Linked DNA regions of Arabidopsis thaliana. The protein of the gene in region 1 interacts with the protein of each later gene in a pairwise test. Each region holds a gene or a part of one and is shown on either strand. Other genes may lie near its edges.

What was found. Proteins that work in one complex are often made in the same cells at the same time.
Region 2: the proteins of ABCB29 (region 1) and ESL1 interact in a protein complementation assay, tested with the Arabidopsis thaliana proteins (one large-scale study listed by BioGRID).

What each region holds. Positions count from the first base shown.
Region 1 is NC_003076.8:1,054,277-1,061,437, forward strand, and holds the start of ABCB29 (ABC2 homolog 12), read right to left. Parts: upstream 2,897-7,161; 5' UTR 2,830-2,896; coding exon 2,239-2,829; intron 2,116-2,238; coding exon 2,029-2,115; intron 1,955-2,028; coding exon 1,847-1,954; intron 1,763-1,846; coding exon 1,496-1,762; intron 1,395-1,495; coding exon 1,311-1,394; intron 1,190-1,310; coding exon 973-1,189; intron 874-972; coding exon 788-873; intron 692-787; coding exon 504-691; intron 423-503; coding exon 293-422; intron 184-292; coding exon 37-183; 3' UTR 1-36. Other genes in the region: AT5G03920 (F-box protein), read left to right, coding at 3,881-4,405; AT5G03930 (F-box protein), read left to right, coding at 5,231-5,767; CPSRP54 (chloroplast signal recognition particle 54 kDa subunit), read right to left, coding at 5,989-6,096, 6,179-6,304, 6,396-6,481, 6,580-6,799, 6,892-7,029, 7,122-7,161.
Region 2 is NC_003070.9:2,863,254-2,870,414, forward strand, and holds the start of ESL1 (ERD (early response to dehydration) six-like 1), read left to right. Parts: upstream 1-4,005; 5' UTR 4,006-4,192; coding exon 4,193-4,339; intron 4,340-4,429; coding exon 4,430-4,492; intron 4,493-4,589; coding exon 4,590-4,679; intron 4,680-4,757; coding exon 4,758-4,883; intron 4,884-4,977; coding exon 4,978-5,043; intron 5,044-5,144; coding exon 5,145-5,220; intron 5,221-5,315; coding exon 5,316-5,380; intron 5,381-5,462; coding exon 5,463-5,555; intron 5,556-5,650; coding exon 5,651-5,731; intron 5,732-5,824; coding exon 5,825-5,909; intron 5,910-5,997; coding exon 5,998-6,041; intron 6,042-6,124; coding exon 6,125-6,187; intron 6,188-6,261; coding exon 6,262-6,342; intron 6,343-6,460; coding exon 6,461-6,514; intron 6,515-6,606; coding exon 6,607-6,666; intron 6,667-6,760; coding exon 6,761-6,875; coding exon of another isoform or gene 6,876-6,937; exon of another isoform or gene 6,938-6,977; intron 6,978-6,982; coding exon 6,983-7,107; 3' UTR 7,108-7,161. UniProt on the Arabidopsis thaliana protein: Sugar transporter. Transports monosaccharides across the vacuolar membrane independently from a proton gradient.

The DNA.
Region 1 (7,161 bases):
TGGTCTGTACATGCTCTTGATCATACTTACATAATCTCAAATCACGAGTCCAGCTGATGTCAGTGAGTCTTTGTGAGTACTTAACAGAGAAGAGCGATTCAATTCCTTTAGTTTTCCCCTCTCTACCAAGAACACTCTCTGCGCCATCATCACTGTCTCCAGTCTATGTGCAATCACTATCACCTGTGAATGCAAACATAAGAGCCATGGAACCAGGAAGTTTTTGAATAATATCAGTGATGATTCAATTAAAAGGTTGTTTAGAATGGAAGAATCGGATGTGTGCTTTTACCGTATGGTCTTGCATTACACGTTCAAGAGCTTCTCTGACTAGCAACTCCGACAAACTATCCAATGCTGATGTTGCTTCATCCAAAATCAGTATGGATGATTTCTGATAGAGCGCTCTTGCGATAGCTAGTCTGCACATTTGCCAAATGAGAACAAGACGCAGTAAGCATCGTGAAGAGAATATATGAAACAATCAGTCTTCCAGACCCCACCTTTGCTTCTGGCCTCCGCTTAAGCTTGAACCCCTGGGACCAACTCCTGTGTTGTATCCCTCTGGTAGGTTTCTGATAAATTCATCAGCATTTGCAGTTTTTGCAGCAAGCTCAACTCTCTTCATGTCAATTCCTGTCGTGAGATCTCTGTACCCAATGTTGTCAGCAATTGTCCCTGAAAACAGAGTCTTGCATGTGCAAAAAAAGTTATGTAACTACGATGAACCATTATGAAATTCTTGGGATGAATCACGAAAGGAGTAAATTTGAAGACTGGAACGTACTGTGTCCTGTGAAACTAGACCAACATGTTTCCTCAAACTTTCCAGTTTGATATCCTTGATGTCAATTTTGTCAATGATGATAGAGCCTATTAAAGGGAAGAAAAAAACAAACACACATATGTGCTTAGATGTCAAACCGTTGGTTCTTAATATTGTGATTAAGTTAAGAAGTAAGAATTTCTAACCAGATGAAGGTTCGTAAAGGCGGAGGAGCAATTTGATCAGTGTTGTCTTTCCTCCTCCAGATGGTCCAACAAGAGCTACAGTCTCTCCTGCTTTAATATGAAGATTTAACCCATCCAAAACGGGAAGCATATTTTCGTCATATTTAAATGATATATCGCATAACTCAACTTCTCCAGCAACTTTTTCCAATTGAATGGCCTCAGGTCTCTCGATCACCTAATTTTCAAGACAGGGCCAGAAGCACTTTGCATCATATTTTGAGATAGACAACGAACAAAACCAAATCATTAGGAGTATAAACTGAAGAGAAGATCAGAGGAAAGATAGGGTGTAGTACCTTAGATTCCAAAGAGGTCAAATCAAACAAACGTTCTATCGCTGGCTCTCCTTGTTTCAATTCATTATAAGCTTTTCCCAAATCCTGCATGTTTTTTAGATTCAAAATCCCAATAAGACAGCTCCTCTATACACAAAAAAGTATAGAGGCAAGGCATGGAATGCCACACTGACACAAGTATCTACCTGGACAGGATCGATCAAGAAAGCTAATGATGCCACGAAGGAAACAATTGCACTAGAGCTTAAAGAAGAGCCTGCAAGGATAACAGCTCCAACACAAAATATCGACAATGATCCGAGATACATAACTTGAACAATCTGAGGGATAAGTGACTTCATTTTCTTCTTCTTAAACCGTTCATCTAGGTCAGCACGAGCAAACCTCTGAAACCTCACACTCTCAGAGATCTCTGCGTTATTAGCCTTGACAAACAAAATTGCAGGAAGAACCTAAACATAAAAAGCTCTGCTTTAGTAATTTTCCCGTAAATTAACAAGAAGAAGAAAAACACCAATTGTAGGAAAGACTAATACCTCATTCAAGTAGGTAGAAAGTTGAGCAGAGGCAATCTGTGCTTTTCTAGATATCTTACGAAGCCGGTCACCAAGATATGCTATAAGAAGCGCAACAGATGGTATCACCTAGAACAATACCCAAACTAATAAGAAAACTCTAGAGCAAAAGAGACACAAACAGAGACAATTGATTCACTTACCATTGCAGAGACTAGTGTCAAGGCAGGACTTGCAACAATCATATGTGCCGTCATTACAGATATCTGAATAGCACTGGGCACAACTGTCTGCCATATAAATGAAGTGTAGAGCTTATAGTTGTTAGCCAAAATCACCACAATGTATCAAAAAATTCTGAAAAGAAGGAAACTTTCTCTTCGCAAAACATTCATAACAAGCAAAACACTCACGTTGAGAAGAGCATAGATAGTGTCAGCAACTTCAGAAGCTTCAGCAGTGATCCTGTAAGCAATGTCTCCTGATGAAATCCCATTGCCACCTTCAAAGAACTCTAGTTCTCTCTCTAAAACCCTCCTATACGCGAAAACCCGAATCTTGTAAACAGTATTCAAAGCAGCTTCCCAAAGAAACGCTTGCTGCAGATAATAAGCAACAACCTTAGCCAAAACCAGACCCGCCAAAACGAGACATTCGCCTTTGAGCTTCGTCAAGCTCGCGGCGTTTGCGTTAAGGTTGGAAGTGAAGGAGCCGAGCCTAGGAACAATCTGAGAAAGCGAGACAACAGAGACACAGCTGCAGAGCCAGCCAAGTAGGACGGTTTTAGATTCCGATTGAAGATAGGGTTTAATAGTTTCGAGGGCTTTTAGTGAATTGACTGTTGTATTGGCTCGGAGACGGAGAGCGGAGGGTTTACAGAAGCTCAAAGGTCTCGGAGATGGTTGAAATGGATGTTTGAGAAAGAGAGATGAGCTCCGGCGATGAGATAGCGGCGGCGGAGGAATGAGAAGACACGGCGGCGGTGTTAGGAGGAGAAATGACATTTCTCTCCAAAACAAATTTAATCGAACCAAAACGAATCAACTTCTAATTCTAATTCGGTGATAATTCTTCTGAACCGAACCTAAACCCGAACATTTAAGCGATTGCTAAGAAGTAAGATCTGAGGCCTTTATGAGTTTAATACCCGAGGCCCAACCTGATCTTATCAAGTAAGAGGTTGATATTTAACCCCAAATAGTTTTACTTTACAACTATTAAATAAATTTTAAAACTCATTATACACACTATATTGAATATTTCAAGAGATTTATAGTTTTTGGTAGAAAAACATTTAAACTAAATTTCAGTTAATTTTGTTTGCAATTTAAAACGTTTCGATTAACTTTAGTTGAAATTGTAACATATTGATATATGTATTTTAGATTTAGGTTCGTAACATGGTGGGAGAGGTCCACCACCTAGTATAATTATAGAGCAAATGTCATGAATAAGAAGTTGTTTCAAAACTGTAAAAGTAGTTTGTTGACACAAATGAAAGTTTACAATCAGTTAATAACATATGTATTTTGTTTTGTGAGAGAATTTTAATTTAGTTTGAAATAACTCAGAGAATAAATCTAATTAGATAAAAATATGTGTTAACATTTGTCAAAATATTTAACACCCTTATCTAACTAATATTTAATAAGAAAAAATCAATACTAAATTAAATCATAAAAAATCTCTAAAAATAATAAAATCTGAAAATTATTAATTTATTATAGTAATTAAATTAATTCATTATTTTAATATCTAATCCACCTAGTATGAAATGTTGGACTCATAACCATGAAATGCTGCAGAATGGCCCATAATACACCTAGCTAGTATAAATCTACAAATTTCCATATATTTTGTAAATTATTCAAAAAAATACTCTATATTATTAGAATATATGACGAAAATTAAAACTCTATATTAGATATTTAATTGTAATCAATTTTAGTTCCAGTATTCCTAATTCATTGAGGATTTGTACCACTATATATAAATTATGGAGGGTGAATATATAAACACAAAATTCATTCCAAAACAAAGAGAGGTTAAAAGTAGATGGAGAAGTCCCCGGTGGTCATGGCCGAAGAAGGAGAACACTCGGGAGCTAAGGAACTTCCCAAACCCAAAATCTCCATGTCGGATCTCACCTTTGTCATAGGCGTGTACACAACCAAATCAAAGAAGTTAACAGTTGTAGAATTTGGCGCGGACCGCGAGTTTAACCCTAATGACCGGTTCAAAATAGAAATCGTAGACTTGAGTCGTTTTGAACTGCCCAAGTCTGGTATGGATGATGTAATGATCACTTGGGAAGTCGTTTATAAGAAAGATTGGCAAAACATTGTCACAATCGTTAAAGGTCGAAGGTCATTAGACACAAACTTACGATGGTTGTTCAACGATCTTCTTGCTCCAGAAGATCTAATCAGACGTGGCCTAACCGGCGATGTCAAGGTGAGTTTAAACGGCGACTTACTTGACAAGATCAGCCTTGAGATATTCATTGAAAGCGACCAGAGATATTTTTCCCCTGAAGATACTCTTAGATATCTTCAATGTTTTTTCCCCTCTAAAAACTAATTATTATGTATATACAAAGTCTGTGAAATTTAAAAATATGTAAGCGTTTCTACCTAAATAATCAAGAGCTTTGTTTTGCACCAAAAAATTTACTGCAAAGGCGTTGATGCTTGATGAACAAGAAACCAATCCCCTATTTTTTTTTTATCCCCTATTTTCGAGGGTTTACCGGAGCTCAGAGGTCTCGGAGATTGTTGAAATGGATGTTTGAGAAAGAGAGATGAGCTCCGGCGGTGAGATAACGGCGGCGGTGTTAAGCGGAGGAGAAATGACATTTCTCTCCAAAACAAATTGAATCGAACCAAAAGGAATATCAACTTCTAATTCTAATTTGATGATAATTCGTCTTAACCGAAACTAAACCGAGAATTTAAGCGGTTGCTAAGATCTGAGGCCTTTTAAACCCCGAAGCCCGTTAAAGCCCTTTAACAGCATATTAATATCATGACAATAGTCTTAGTGGTTCCCCGTGCCATGCATAATTGCATATTATTAATTAAATTTATATTTAAACCTATGATATTAAATACATACAATAATAATGTAGTATAAAAATATGTTAACACATAATGTTTAAACCATGAGCAATAAATTTGGAAGTTAATAATATATGCATGTGAAAAGGAGATTATAGGAATTCAATATTTTGTTATAAAAATTACTCCTAATTAATCAATTAACAATTAATGAGAATTAATGCAAAAAAACATAAAAATAATTGAGAGTCATTGTGGTGAGATATAAAGAAGATTTGTAACACTAAAAATATGGATGGTGAATAACATAAAACTCATTCCAAAACAAAGAAAAGAGAAGTCACAGGTGATGATGGCCAAAGAAGGAGAACATTCCGGAGCTAAGGAAGTGAAACTTACCAAACCCAAAATTTCCTTGTCGGATCTCACCTTTGTCATTTACGTAACTACCCGAGAAAAGCTATCATCTTCTACCATAAGTTGTGAGGAGATACCACTTAAGAAATGTGGCGCGGAGCTAGAGTGTGGCTCCAATGATCGATTCCATATACAAGTCGAAAACTTGAGCCATATGGGAATCTCCAAGTCTAGAATGGCTGGTGTAAAGATCGAGTGCGAGGTCATTTATAAGGAAGACTCGGAAGACGAGGCGGTAGTTAGAATCGTTAATGCTGAAAGGCCATTAGGCACAAACTTTGGATGGCTGAACAACGATCTTCTTGCTCCACTAGCTCATCGTGGTCTAACAGCCGAAATCCAGCTGAGTTTCAACAGCGAGTTATTGGACAAGATCGACCTCCAGATATTCCACCGAGGCGAGGGGAGATATTTTTCCCAAGACGATACTCTTGGTTATCTTCAATGTTTTTTCCCATCTAAAATCTAAGTATTTTAGTTATGCAAAGCCTATGAAATATTTAAAAGTACAATTTGTATGCATTTTGTTTGGTCGATTATATGATATTTAAATAAGAATATATTTCTACCTAGATAATCATGAGTTTTGTCAACAAATTGGTAATTAACTTGTAAGGTTTCTGTCTCATTCATTAACTTATACAAAAAAATAATCCGTTTAGAAATTAACCAAATTGGGCTGAAATAGTTTTAGTTACCAGAGCCGAAGCCACGAGGACCAGGCTTGCTTGATGCTGACTCTACAAATTTCTTCCTTGAGTCTGCCTTTCTCTTCCTCCTTGCAGTTCCAGGTGGAGCCTTAAGATACATTTACAAGACCCCATTAAACTCTGGTACATGTTAAAGATGAAGAAGAAGAAGAAGAAGAAATGGAAGAAACCTTTTGTTCTGCTTTCAATGCGTCCTCGAGACCGCTTAATGCTGGAATTGATCCTCCTTCCATCACTCCCATCAAGTTCTTCATTTTCACTCTCATTTGGAAGATTTGTGCTACAAGTGCGCTCACCTGAACCAACAACAACAAAATGGTATTGAGAATCTCCTTCTTCTTGTCTGAGATCTGCACAAAACTAAGCTCACAATCTGAGCGAGAGTACCTGTTGTTCTGTCTTTCCTGAATCTTTAGCGATTCTTTTTCTTCTCTCTGGAGATTCTGCTAGTAACTCTGGTCTCTCTCTTTCCTCTGTTCCAACAGATTTAAACCAAGAATTAGACAACCAAAATCTAGTTTATGAAATGCTTGTTTATTTAATGGAATGGAAGAAAGGAACAGAGACAAACCGGGTGTCATCACTTCAATCATTGCTTCCATGACTAAAAGATTCTTTTCCGCTTCTCGGATTTGTGCTGGACTCACTTTCCCCATTCCGGGAATCATTCCAAGAACTCGTGTCATCGAACCCATTTTCGCTACAGCACGAGTCTGCTTTAGAAAATCGTTGAAGTCGAACTTTGCACTCATTATCTTCTTCTGCAGATCTTCTGCATCTTCTTGACGCATCTATAAAGACAGATGAAGAAGGCCTCAATGGATAGAGAGAGAGGGAGAGGAAAACATAGTTTTGATTGTAATTTTACTGAGAAAGAACTTACAACTTCTGTTGCCTTCTCTACAAATGAAAGCACATCTCCCATTCCTAGAATTCGTCCAGCCATTCGATCTGGATAAAAGGGTTCAAGATCCTCCATTCGCTCTCCACGTCCTACCAGTTTAATCGGTTTTCCTGATACCTAGTAACACCCATTTAAGTGTAAACTATCAATGTTGAGCAACATTAAGTAAATTTCTATAAAATAATTGATTAAAGAAGAAGAAAACAAACCTCCTTGACACTCAAAGCAGCACCACCTCTTGAATCACCA
Region 2 (7,161 bases), on another chromosome or scaffold:
GATCCAAAATCACTCGATTCTCCTCTAAGCAGCCTTCACAAACATCATATTATCGAGTAGTTTTTAATAATTGTCTAGTTTACCATAACTACTGTGGCTATGTGGTTTATTGGAAAAGTTGTCCATATAGAGCAAAAGTTATAATTATTTTCTATTATATTTCATAATTTAATTACTAGACAAATTTCAGAATTATTTTCAAGATTCCTGGATTTTTCCTATCTCTTCCCATTCCCAATACATTCTTTGCGCCGTTCTTACAAACTTGAACATCATAGAATCTCAAATCAGTGACTAATTTGTTAATATGATTATCACTTTAGATTTTGCTTGGTTTTCTGAAATCAAAGAAAACAAGGAGAAAATTTTAACAGTAATTTCAGTATATTTTGTATCACATGAATTTTAGTTTATATATGTAAGTTTAGCGATTTTTGTTATAAAAAATAGAACTTTCATTTATATTTTTTTTTTTCTTAGTCTCTCCGATTAACAACATTCAAAGTTAATAGTTTACAGACAGGATCGATTTTGATTGTTTTTGTTCTATTACTTGAATTTAACTTCTTTTTTTTTTTCAATACTCAAAATTTAACTAGTTAAAGAACCATTAATCCTCCAAATACCATGAAAAACTGAAAAGTTGTATTTACATTTGATTCAGTTATTTCTGTCCAATGTTAATTAAGTTTTTCTAAATCCAAATCCAAATACACAATAATTTGAAGTCAAACTTACACCAGCTCAACTTTGTTAGTGCCAAAAACATGCCTAATAAAAATTGATTTGAAAATCCACGAATATAAAGATACCGGTACTACTTACGGAAGGCAACTTAGTTTAATACAAACTCGTAGGAAGCAAAAATAGACCATTCACTCCGAAAAGGACGTAGAAGTTTAGGCCAATATAATAATTGATATGTTCACCCATTTCCTGGCACCTTATTATTGGAGTACCCACTTTTATTTGTGTCACATGGAACTAATGGACTAAAACTTGCAAATCTTAAAATGAGTCAGTAAAAGGAGGCTAGACATAAGACATTAAAGAATCCCAACATCATGATACTTAAAGATACGAGTCACTAACTTTTTTTGTCCCAATATCAATGATGAATCACCTTTCTCATTGTTGCTACTGCATTTTTCTCTTATTTTAAGACCAAATATAAACAAAATACAAGTTAATACATCTCTGAGCATGTGTTGATTCGATTATCAATCGGATTAAAGATTTGAATATACAAATCAGATTAAATCAGGAGCTTGATAAGGAGCTAGTTCAAATATAATAATCAAAATTATGGTAAACCTGAACCCATTTTCTAACAGCGAAGAGGGGCACTGGTTCGGAAACCAAGCAAGGTGGATGCGGTGACGGGAAGGGAACAATAAAATGAACATATGAAAACCATTTAGTAGGGTTTAAAAATGTTTATTATTTTTGGTAGAAGAAGGTTAAGACTTGAGACCATATAGACAGCTGATATATTCATATACATGGGCGGTTCTTGGAAGGATCTAGGGGAGCAAATGTCCCATGTTATCGGCTGATGTATTAGATTACATGCATAAGCGTTATTGTTACGATCATGTGAAGCAAAAACACGGCGTTCGAGGATCAACAGACCCACCACACGTAAGCGTCTCTCAAAAATCAAAATTGGTCTGCTACAAACCTACTTTCCCGCCAGCTAAACCAAGATTATTCATTTTATTTTTATTTTTTCTGCTACACAAAAACAAAAAACTCATCTAAGTTGGTATTTATTGTTTATATAATCTTTGTTTAAATGTTTGATAAAGAGCTCACTAACTTTATAAGTAATTAGCTAGTATATTTTGTTTAGCAAAAAAAAAAATAGCTAGTATAGAAAAACAAGCCAAATAATTTATTTATTTTTTGGTCAAGGAACAAGCCTAATAATTATGGTTGATATTTTTGATGTAATTGACATCGTAAGTATGTAATACGTCGTCCTCCAGTAAAAGTGTTGAATGGTGAACGACAATTGTAGAGCGATAACCTCATTTTTTTTAGGTAAATTTGTTTTTTAATCCATCATATCAATTCTTTCAAAGAAAAAATGAACCAACCATTTGTATAACGTGCGTTCAACCTGTTACCTCTACATGCAGCATAAAATTTGTGATAGTGACGAATAACGTTGATTACTCTTTGTACTTCCTTGATTTTAGTGAATGTAATGTTGCTCTATCGAGGTGGAGCCTCGTAACATTGGTAAGGCTACAAAAATGAACATCGCTCTCTCTCTTCTTTAAGCATTCCTAAATCGTGTTTTTGTTTTTCTTTTTGGCAGCATCTTTTATTTTGTTTAAACGCCTAAAACTGCCTTTGATCTTTTTTCCTTTTTATTGATAGAATGAGATAGGACAACAAATACCTTTTTTGCCGGGAAAATTCAAAGGTTGTTGATGATTCCTTGTGTCCGCAACTAGAAAGAGAAAAGTCTGTCGTATCAAATTAGATATTGACAAAAATGTCAAAATATATGAAGAAGTGTGAGGGGAAACCGTTGATTGAACGTAAGACATTTGAAAAATGGATATGTAGTAGTTTCTAGATTTGCTTACAAGGAATGTTGAGTTGTATCATTTTCTCTAACGCAATAGCTAACGTGCACGACTTTTTTTTTTTTATGTAAACTTCAAACAAACCACGATCAACGCGTTTACTATTTATTGCATGGAAACTATAGCAAGTGTGACAACTCATATCAATTTGTGATGAATTGATTAACTACGTAGGTAGTATAATATTTGTAAGTTGGTTATTCACGTAAGAAATATTGTATTTTACTCTTATCCAGATTATTTAAGAACTCGTTTTTCAATATAATGTTTGACATTTTATACTCGAGTTAATAAACAAATTAGCTTTACATTGACAAAATTCTGTTGTATATTATTTATAATTAATCTTGACTATGGGTAATTAAATAATATTTTTTTGGAAAAAAATACATTGGATTTTCTCAAATGATCACACTTCTATTAAAACCAAAATAGTACGTATACGCTCTAGACGATTCTAAATAGATGATTAATTTGGCTCGATTCATTAATTCAAAAAATAATAATATTTAGTGTTTTAAATTAGAATTAAAATATTAAATAATTATCGGATATTTCAGTGTTTTAAATTATTGAGGATGATTTTTGTTTAGTAATGACGTCAGATTGTCTAAGGAATAGTTTGGGAAAAAAATCTGAATCAAATATGACTAACAAATGGTTATTGGTTATTGAACTGGACCATAACAAAAAGACACACACACAAAAAAAAAAACTTTTTTTATCTGGTTTGCTCCATGGATAAGAATATAGTAGCTAGGATATCCTGATCTTTAGATAACGGTAGAACATGTGGCATGTGTTTATTGTTTATTTTTATTTTATTTTGAGAACAAAATAGTTACATTGTTTGGTTATATATAAAAAAAAAACAGACCAAAAAGACAAAACCAAAGCTTAAACAAAAAAAGAAAAGAAAAACTTAATTAGACCGGTTAACACTAAACTGGTTTATGTAAAACGGATTCATAAATGTATCTAGACATTCACTTACATAAAATTCATCACAAAATTTCACCCAATTACGGTTTTGATTCGGTATAGGGACCACCTTCAAAATTACCCAATAAATAAAGAGTGGATAACAACTAGCATAAAATAATCAAAGCATCCACTAAGACACAAAACACAATTTCATAAAGATGATGATGAATCACATAACTTTAAATAAATATTCTTTCAAAAAGGCAAAACTTTTAAATAAATATCATTCGCCTGTCGGCCAAGAAAAAAAAAAAGTAAACAAAAATAAATATCATACGTATTGACAACAAAAAATTCATACGCCAGTCCAATTACAAATTACACAATATTTAAAAATTTAAATAAGGAAAACAGAAGAAGATACAATTTCAAATTAAAAAACAAAATACGTGTATATAAAATTGAATAAAACCCCAACAGAAACGTGACACAAAAGAAAAGATTGGGGAAGCTGACCTCTGCCTTTCCTCCTCCATTAATCAAGGAATATAAATCAGCTTTAAACTCAGTCCTCTTATGGAAGACAAAAAAGCAAATATTTATTCGTAAATATAACTTCAGAACCCTTTCAACAAAACTCTCTCTGTTCTTTCTCCGTGGAGAAGTTAAAGATGACGATGTCGGAGAACTCAAGAAACTTGGAAGCTGGTTTGCTACTGAGGAAGAACCAAAACGACATCAACGAATGTCGTATCACTGCTGTTGTACTTTTCAGTACTTTCGTTTCTGTTTGTGGCTCTTTCTGCTTCGGTTGTGCGGTTAGTCATCAAATCACTCATCTTTTTTTTAAAACAATTTCTCTGTTTGTTTTGCTCTGTGATTTGAAAGTTTGGGGTTGGATTTTACAGGCAGGTTATTCATCAGTTGCTCAAACAGGGATCATAAATGATTTAGGTCTCTCTGTTGCACAAGTAAGAAGCAACCCTCTCTCTTTTCTTGAATCTTTACTCAAAAAGTGCTAGTTTTGCTTAAATTACTCTGTTTTTTTGTTTTTGTTTACTACTTCAGTACTCCATGTTTGGTTCAATCATGACTTTTGGAGGAATGATTGGTGCCATCTTCAGCGGGAAAGTTGCAGATCTCATGGGTCGAAAAGGGGTAAATTTCCTGACAATTTGAAATTCATACAAACATATGTTTCAAGATCATGTACTGATGAATTTTTCTCTTAAACAGACTATGTGGTTTGCTCAAATTTTCTGCATCTTCGGTTGGGTTGCAGTAGCATTAGCAAAAGACTCCATGTGGCTTGATATTGGAAGACTATCCACAGGATTTGCAGTTGGTTTATTAAGCTATGTGGTAATAATTCTTTTACTTTCTTTTTTTCCATTTATTTTGTGTATTATATACTTATTTATTTTTACTGACTTTGTGTTAACTCTGTTGCCTTCAGATACCAGTTTACATTGCAGAAATAACACCAAAACATGTTCGAGGAGCGTTTGTATTTGCTAATCAGGTAAACTAAAGAATAATTAGAGAATAAATTCTTATAACCATAAAATAAAAAAGATATATATTATACTAATGTTCTTAAAATTTGTTCAAATGTCGTTACAGCTGATGCAGAGTTGTGGATTGTCTTTATTCTACGTCATTGGAAATTTTGTTCATTGGCGTAACTTGGCCTTAATCGGTAAGCTTCTTCCTAATCCTTTTTTTCTTTCTAGCAGGTTAGTTATGAAATTTTCATCAAGAAGTGATTTAAGTTTATCGGTTTCTGTCTCTCAGGTCTCATTCCATGTGCGTTGCAAGTTGTGACTTTGTTCTTTATTCCAGAGTCCCCTAGACTACTGGTACGTTTAGCCCTTTTTAAGTTTTGATCTTTTTTAAAAAAAGTGTGAAGTAAAACTCAATATGGTTTACAATGGTGTATAGGGAAAATGGGGACATGAAAAAGAATGTAGAGCTTCATTGCAAAGTCTTCGCGGAGATGATGCAGATATCTCTGAAGAAGCCAACACTATCAAAGTATTGCAACTTTTCACACATCTCTCTGTTTTTAAATTGTGTTGTTTTCAATAAAACATGACTAATGAACAAATCATTGGAAATGTCAACTATAGGAAACCATGATCTTGTTTGATGAAGGACCAAAATCGCGGGTTATGGATTTGTTTCAGAGAAGATATGCTCCATCTGTTGTTGTAAGTTTATTCTCAAACGTTTTGTGACAAAAAAAGTTGATTTTCTCTTGTACCGTTATACTTACTCTCTGAAGTTTGTGACATTTTGTTCAGATTGGTGTGGGACTAATGCTTCTACAACAACTCTCTGGAAGCTCAGGACTTATGTACTATGTCGGTAGCGTATTTGATAAAGGAGGTAAATAGATAAACAAACTCTGTTTCGCATGTTACGATAATTTACTGTCTTCATTTGGGAGTAACAAATATTTTCTTACTAATGGCAGGGTTTCCAAGCAGCATTGGCTCAATGATTCTTGCAGTGATCATGGTATGTCTTTGTACGTAGTTTCATTTATTCGTGAAAAATCTTGCCAAGAAGTACACTTATGCTCATGTGTTCTGCTTTTGTAGATACCAAAAGCTCTATTGGGTCTGATTTTGGTTGAGAAAATGGGACGAAGACCACTTCTATTGGTAAGATTTTGCTATCTGATCTTTTGGTCAAATATCAAATGAAGCAACAAAATTTAGCATATATCTTTTAACAGATGAATGATCTTTATTTACAGGCCTCTACCGGTGGAATGTGCTTTTTCAGCTTGCTCCTCAGTTTTTCCTTCTGCTTTCGGGTAATTAACATTAACGATTCGCTTTCTAACCAAAGATATATACAAACTTTTTTTGCTGCTGTTTATTGGAGATTCTTACCAGTTATACTAAAATTTTTCTACTTTTGTTCTTGGACAGTCATATGGCATGCTTGATGAGCTCACTCCGATTTTCACATGTATCGGTGTAGTGGTACGTTTAAAGTCATTTCTTAGACATAATAAACAAGCAACTTAAAGTATAGCTCTTGTATAACTTGATCTGAATTTGACATCATATTACAGGGTTTCATCTCTTCATTTGCCGTAGGCATGGGAGGCTTACCATGGATCATCATGTCTGAGGTAAACAAACATGAACATTAACATTAACTCCTCAAAAACCGACATATATATATTTTTTCCAGCTCTAAAAAATGTTACATTTTTTATTTTGCAGATATTCCCAATGAATGTTAAAGTTTCTGCTGGGACTCTGGTTACCTTAGCCAACTGGTCCTTTGGTTGGATTGTTGCTTTCGCCTACAACTTCATGCTAGAGTGGAACGCATCAGGTATAAATACATACTACTATATAATATACTATAGAGTCATTAAACTCTCAAAAAAAAATTAGATCTTTAATCTGATTTAATTTTTGAAATATATTAATCTGTTTCAGGAACGTTCTTGATCTTCTTTACTATATGTGGTGCGGGTATAGTCTTTATTTATGCGATGGTACCCGAAACTAAAGGAAGAACATTGGAAGATATACAAGCTTCTCTTACAGATTTTCTACAATGAGATCAAGTTTGACTTGTTTAAAGTTATTCATTTTTTCTTAGATTACAATTGGGG